2 linked regions of the Nothobranchius furzeri genome follow. The protein of the gene in region 1 interacts with the protein of each later gene in a pairwise test. Links are inferred from orthologs where the notes say so. Each region holds a gene or a part of one and is shown on either strand. Other genes may lie near its edges.

What was found. The genes of interacting proteins can lie anywhere in the genome.
Region 2: the proteins of ccdc172 (region 1) and hddc3 interact in binary tests that used the Homo sapiens proteins (3 or more experiments, as listed by UniProt). The two-hybrid records come from large-scale screens. The link is inferred for Nothobranchius furzeri from reciprocal best matches to the Homo sapiens genes CCDC172 and HDDC3.

The regions. Positions count from the first base shown.
Region 1 is NC_091752.1:42,775,344-42,778,857, reverse strand, and holds part of ccdc172 (coiled-coil domain-containing protein 172), read left to right. Parts: intron 1-3,348; coding exon 3,349-3,514.
Region 2 is NC_091749.1:30,000,071-30,004,164, reverse strand, and holds the start of hddc3 (guanosine-3',5'-bis(diphosphate) 3'-pyrophosphohydrolase MESH1), read right to left. Parts: upstream 2,810-4,094; 5' UTR 2,732-2,809; coding exon 2,620-2,731; intron 1,412-2,619; coding exon 1,356-1,411; intron 1,282-1,355; coding exon 1,041-1,281; intron 1-1,040. Other genes in the region: vps33b (vacuolar protein sorting-associated protein 33B), read left to right, coding at 3,592-3,687, 4,076-4,094. UniProt on the Homo sapiens protein: ppGpp hydrolyzing enzyme involved in starvation response.

The DNA of each region.
Region 1 (3,514 bases):
ATCTTCAGTTATTTGGGCGATTAGCCGACTAATCGTGTCATGCATAAGTATAGCTTAATGCAGCAGGACACAGCTGCTCTAGCATACCCATCATTAGCTTCTAGTTTGAAGTGTGATCTGTTACGTGGGTCTCAATCTGTCACCAACATATTCAAAATGGCCTCGGTCAGAAGGTTTGGTTTGTAACAAACTCATCCACTGAAGAGGAGCGGGTTTTTAACATTGTAGCAGGATGCAATAAACCATTAGTGTTTGTCACCTCAGAGCAAATACGTGACCCAGGTGTGCTAAAGGTAATGAAATTGCAATCACTACTATTGTTGCTACTGCCATAAACACAAGTACCTCCCAGCTAACGAGATGTAATTAGCTTACAGAGGCGACCGCCCCGCTTCATTCTCCGCCACGACGGGCTTCCTTTTAACGTGTTAATGCATCACTGTTACACTCCCGTGAAAGGAGAGTTCTACTTCGCAGCTTTTGCACTCTACGTGCTTCTCTTTTGTCTTTGTAAAATTCTTCCAAACATTTGAGCTGCGTTTTCGGCTCGCCTGGATGGTCACTACTGCACGTGTGCCCGAAGCAGAGCGGTAGAAAGCAGTAGTGGTGCCGCAGCAGGCAGATTAAAAATTAAACAACACTTGTAGTAAATTATGTTGACTATTGAATTTGTTGGTGACTATTTTGTTTGTCGACGTCATCGTGGCAAATCGACTAATAGTGACAGCACTAATTTCATGTCATGATACTAAATTGATATTTAAAACCAGCGTATTGATTTTTTTTGTTGGATATTTACATGCTAACATACATAGTAGTTAGGGCTGCACAGTATATCGCAAATATATCGTTATCACGATATTAGCATTTGCAATATGCATAGTGCATTGAACAGATAAATATTGCATTAAATGGTCAGCTCAAATGGTTGATACACATAATGCATTCTGTCAAACTGAAGTATAATGTTTTTTTAACAAATCAAATAGAGCTCTTCATCCTTTTGGCCAATTGGGTGGGTCCTCATAGGTTAGATGCCCGGCCCCGAGGCAGACAGTACTTAATTTTGATGGTTAGCAAACACCTTAGTTAGCTTTGTTCTTCTCTTTCTGCTGATTCTGCTTTACCCGGGATCCACTGATTGCCTTTTCTTGTTCATTTTCTTTTTCCCTTTCCTCACATCTTTTGCTGTTCTTAGTCTTATGATTTTTTTGTTGCCATTTTAAAAATGTCTTTGTTTTTGATTATTTTTGTTCCTGAGTAGTTTTTATTTATCGCAAGTAATATCGTTATCGCAATATTAATCACTGTTATCGCATATTGCAGGCTTTCCTAATATCGTGCAGCCCTAATAGTTCTTTTGTGTGGTGCAGTTCAAACTCCAACTGCTAGGTGGCAGCAGGTTTTGCTGCCTTTGTTCTGAGGGAACAGTGAGCTCTTGCGCCAAGATTGGATGGCCCAGTCCCAATCACAGATATCATATATGCCCCGTGGACTCACTGCCGATTGGAGCAGCCACAGTTGCCGGCCGCCATCTTTGATGAGTTTCTATTCACCCCCAGTGCATGTATTTCTACTGAGGAAGGTGCCTACCCAACTAATCAGACACATGGTATGGCATGATAATTAAAATACAAATATAATTAACCAAAATTCATTAAAATATAAAATCCCTTCTGCTAGGCTAGAAAGGTCAATAATAAGCCCATGCGATCTGTTTTCAATAGTAAGCTGGTTGTTGCAATCACAGGCTGCAAATACACGGGCATAGATTCCCACTCTGCACTGCTTTTGGGGCGGGAGGACACCCTAACCCTAACACTCTTTTATGCTTTCCAGCACCCAAAGGGGCATCTATGTATTCATGTCTATGGTCCCAATACCTACACTGCAGCCACCGCAACGGTCCTCTGTGACGTATACTTGGTGGAAGTGCACATAACACTCTGAGTGCGTAGTGAATAAGTACAGAACTGGAACAGTGAGCATTGTGTCTTCGTAACCGGGGAAGCCGGTGTTTTTTTTTTGTGTGTGTTTTGCTGCTTGACATGAACTGAATGACAACAAGTGATTCAATTACAGGCATACCATGTATGAAAACACACAGCTGCACTGTTAAAAATATTGTTACAGACATGTGATGTTTCTTTCCAACAGAGAAACCTTATAATGTTATATTTGTTATTTAGATCAGGGATTCCCAAAGTGTGGTGCGCGCGAGCTGCCGCTAGGGGCTGCGCGAGGTGAAAAGTGTAATGGCTGCGGAGCTCAGAGAAGTCTGTCAAAAGTCACCATTAGCGTAGCCAGAAACTCATTTGTGGGTGGGCCTAAGAAAAAGTAAGTGGGCCCAATAAATGTAATTGAAAACAAGTATATTTTGCTTGTGTGTGTGTGTGTGTGTGTGTGTGTGTGTGTCCTCCGCACATGCCCTAGCTCAGGGGTCGGCAACCCGCGGCTCTGGAGCTGCATGCGGCTCTTCCATCCATCTGATGCGGCTCTCTGTGCTTGTATCTTTACTGTGGGAAATGGGTAATAATGTCTCTTTGATGGGAACAGGTTGCCGACCCCTGGTTTAGCATGACGTCTGATATATATATATATATATATATATATATATATATATATATATATAGCCATGCCCTGATGTGGGGCTGGGGGGTGTGTCAACATGGTCGGGACATAGAAGGGGATGTGCATCTAAATAAGTTTGGGAACCACTGATTTAGATAATTATAATAGAAGATTCATATTTTTGGAAAGGGCATTTGAGCCATTTCTCCATCATCTTCTCAAAATTCCCACGCTGAAGTCTGCACTGATGCAGGCTTCAATGAAGTATGGATCAAGGACTCGCATCCCTGGACATAACTCGCAGTTGAGGGGTGCAAGGCTGGATGCATGAGTATTGGGACAGGGCCTTTGTGTCTTTAAAGCATCTGGTCCGAGTTTTCTACTTAAAGCCCGTTTTAACATTGCAAGTACTGTCCGGCTTTTAGAATCATGATGTATCGTATTGCCTTCCATGTATCGTGGTCAATATCGTATTGCCAGATTCTTGCCCCCCCCCCCCCCCCCCCCCCCCCCCCCCCCAAAGATGCAAAGATTTCCCAGGATAGTTTTACCATGGCAGGCCAACTGGACTTTTTCCTAATAAAAATTATTGTACCACCCAAAGTCAGCGTTGATTTGCATTTCTCTAACTCTACAGTGGCGTGCGCCATCAAAAGAATTCTAATGGTCTTTGGAGAATAGATTTAGCTCTTCTAGCTCTACAGTGATATTACCATAAGTTACTGGTAGTATTTATATGTGGAAAACTACAGAACAGTTTTCCTCTTTTTACACCAGGATAAGATAAGGAAAACGTCTAAAGAAGAGGAGGAAATGTTTCGTCAAGAGATCTCAAGGTTCAACAGTGATTTCAGTCTTCAGAGAAGCAGAGCACCAGGGCCCGAGAACCAGCTTGAGTCTGACCTCCTGAGGCTGGATCAGGAGGTGGAAGCCTTACACAAAG
Region 2 (4,094 bases), on another chromosome or scaffold:
GGCCAACACACCCACTGCTGACAGCAAATTCACACCTTCCATTAGAGCAAGCCTCTGATTGGTGGGTAGAATCAGCCCACATGGGCTTAAGACAAGGATGTGTGGAATCAACCGGGCCAGGCTGGGGCCGACTGGGGCTACCCGGCCTGGGCCGACCCGGTACAGATGGGAATGGCCCAAAAAAGACTGTGTCCAGGGTGACACGGGTCAGCTGTGATCCAACCTGTATGCCTCAATGTCCTGAAGGAGTACAGGTCCTGTATAGAGAGGAGTTTGCAGCCAATGACCTTCTCAGCAGAGAGTACAACACACTGCAGTCTCTTCATATCCCTGATGGTGGCTCCAGCACACCAGTAAGTTAGTAAGTTTTCTGAAAGTCAGCAAAATTTGAAGTACTCCCAGCACTAATCTTTCTACAAATTAACATGTTTAGGTGTCCAAATTTAGTTTAAAAGATATTCCACCAAACCCATATAAGCTAAATTATCAGCAAAAAAATCTCTAAAGGAAACTGCAGTTTTTCTATTTACATCTGGTCTGCAAACAGCTGTGGCTAAACAAGAAACAGTGCATTACAAGGATAAGGGCAGTAACGCACTCTAACTGCTCGGGTGAAGAAATCTTAAACCTACTCAAAATCACAGAGATTTATATTTATTTACTTACTGTGCAAAGCTACATTGCATGCATTCAGCAAAAAGTTGGATGATGAAGGGGTAATATCCAACAGTTTTTAGTGTTTCAGCATCTAAGTTTTGATTTGCTCAGATTTTTTAAACTCGAAAAGGTTGAGGAGTTAAAACTGTGAAATAAAACATCTGCTGTGTTCTAAATAAAAGTTTTAAAAGCTGTTTCACAAATTCAAGTTTGGTTTTATTCCAGAAAACTTCCATACTTATGGGGTGTGTGCAAATCTTTTCTGCATCCTTGTAGAAAAACATCATTTACAGACACTGCTGTCTGCCGTTTCCTACACAAGAGACAACCTGGACAGCGTTAGCTTCAGTCTGTAAGTGTTGATAGGACAGCGAGGTACTGACCCACAGGCGTGCAGCGGTTCAGGTCCCTGAGGTTGTACAGTTTATCCGCCAGTTTCACCAGCTTGGCTTGTGGGCTGCAGTGAGGTGCGTGCTCCACCTGCAGACGCTTCCTCTCCTGCTTCGGTAGACTTTTGTCATCAGTCACTTCTCGGACAATGCCAGCCACGGCCTCCCCGAATTTTGCTTCAAGTTCTTCAAGGGTGGTGTCGGTGTCCTCCACTGTGTCATGAAGCAAAGCAGCCTGCAGAGACAGACAGCACAAAAAGCTCAGCGTGTCAGGAGACTGATCCCGAGTGTGTAACAGTCACCACACACCTGTAAAACCTTGATGTCTGTGACTCCTCCTTCGTGGCTGAGGATTCTCGCTACTCCTTAAATGACAAAGACATCAGAAAGAACTAATAAACACCGCTGATCCACAAAGCTGGGATTTCATTTAATAATAATTGCCAATGACATGGACTACTGGACAAAAAGTAGTACCCAACAAAATAAGTCACACATGATATGGATTGATTTATGCCCAGTAGCATTAATGTTTTGTAACGATCTTGTATCGATGAGTCAGACCACAACACAAAACCTTCATCAGCACATCCCAAAGATTCTCAAAGGGGTAAAAGTCCGGTGACTGATCCATGTGCTAGGATAATGCCTCGGGCTCCCTGATCCACTCTTCTACTACTTAGGATGAAATAATCCTGCATAGTCATCTTAGAATATTATTATAGTATAGTATTATAGTATTAACTGAACACTCTAAAATTTAGAGTGTAAATTATCCCTAAGTGTGTGAGTGTGTGACTGGTGGTTAGTTAGTCGACTAGTAAGGGTTAGGAGTTTGCCTTGTAATCGGTGGGTTGCAGGTCTGAACCATCAGGCTCCATTTGGTTCAGTCACTGTGTCCTTGGGCAACACATTTTACCCTCCTCGCCTGCTGGTGGTGGACGGAGGGACCGGTGGCGCCTGTAATCGGAGGGCCTCGCCTCTGTCAGTACGCCCCAGGGCAGCTGTGGCTACATTGCAGCTCATCCCCCACCATGGTGTGTGTGAATGGGTGAATGACTGATTGTGTTGTGAAGTGCCTTGGGGGGTTGTTGAATCCTAAGAATGCACTATACAAATACAGACCACTTACCATCTCCAGAGCAGCCATGGCTACATGTATCACCATCAGCGTGAATGACTGGACTGTAATGTGCTTTGAAGACCCTGACTAATAAATGCTACACAAACGTGCATTATTTTTATGATTTGTCTGTGTTTCCCTGTGATGGACGGGAGACCTGTCCAATGTGTCGTCCTCTCACTCATGAGTGCTGGAATTAGACACCAGGTGCCTCATTTATAACATTTGGTGTAGAACCCTTACTAAAACCAGCAGCGACTGGTTTAAAAAAACTTAGTGGGGCTATATGTGGAATATTTCCCCTCTTAGTTCGTAATAATGTAATGAAATGAAATCTACAATTCACACACACACACACACACACACACACACACACACACACACACACACACACACACACACACACACACACACACACACACACACACACACACAGAGCTTTCTCCTTACCGATGGGATGGTTAATGTAGGGGGTTGAGTTTGTATCTTTGCGTCTCTGATCGCGATGTTTAAACGCAGCAAAATCAGCAGCCTCCAACAACAAAGCTGCGTCTGAATCCATGTTCAGTTCTGTTTGATCAAATTAAGGGAGGTTGCATAAACGTGTTTGGGAAGCAAGCACGGCGGTGTTTCAGATCGGTGTTACGTCATTTCCGTGTTTTACAATCTGCTCCGCCCACTAAAATTTATTTTACTTTTGGGTCTTTGAAAACCAAAACTTGAAAATAGCTAATAATAACAATAATAATCTTATCTGTACAATGTTTTTTCTACTTCTGTGAATTTGACTAAGAGTCCGGAATGAAGAATACTTGATTTAAGGGAGTTTTTTTTTTCCATTCCGGATTGCTATGATGACTCCTCCTGTTGATGAAACGATACCAAAACAGTTAATTATTTTGTGGGAGTTAAGCTAATTCCTCAGAATACTAAGATGCAGTTGAAGAATATTAACTTGTTTAGGCTGGATTTGTTGATGGTTTGGGTTTAAAAAGCATCGACATATAAATTGAAGTTTGAAGTCAGTGATAAGGGCGTGTTGCTTCACTCTATTGTGTCCGGTGGGAAACAGTTGATCGCACGAACTATTATGCTACGGAAGCAGGTAGGCTTCGACAGAAAAACATAATATTAATCTGTTTACTCAGAAAAATGCAGCTTTAGTCAAATTAATATGATGTAATAGTTTGTGCAGAATTATTTCATACAAACGTCAGCATTTTGCTGTTCGTTTACAATGTGCAGGCAAAGATGATTTGTGTGTTTTTAGCCTACAAGCTAACTCTGGTAGTGGAGAGAACGGAACACTCATCGTCACGCTTTATGGTTTTTTTAAATTTGGGGACGTATCTTTGTTGCATTATAACTGTATTTATTTCTGTGCCACCAGTGACTGAATGACGTGTCCTGTTGTGGTTGAGAATGGCTCACAGTGCAAGGAGAGACTCCCCGGAGTTCCCAGACTTCTCTCTGCTAAAGAGATTGGTCAGAGATCAGCTCATCTACCTATTGGAACAGGTAGGAAAACACGCGCATATACCTGTACCTAGCTTAGATCAGCTGTTTGCCACAAAGCATCAGGTTTAGACAAACGCTAGACAAGAAAAACACCAGAAACCTTTTTCACAAGCACTCCAGTCTGTTATTATAGTGGAAAAATCAGTACAACTGTGTAATGACTGATTTATAGGGCTGACGTAACAGCTGTCACAGTCATTGAAGGTGGTACACCTCTGACCACATCCCAACAATAGCGTCAGAGAATTTTGTGATCTTACCATCAAGTTATGTGCAATTCTGGTATTATAAATAATTGAATCAGGCGATGAACTTTCTGTTGACAAGTTTTTCTAGTTTTGTGTAGAACAGATTGTTGTTATGGCATGTGTCTTATTTCATCACACAGCTGCCAGGGAAGAAAGACC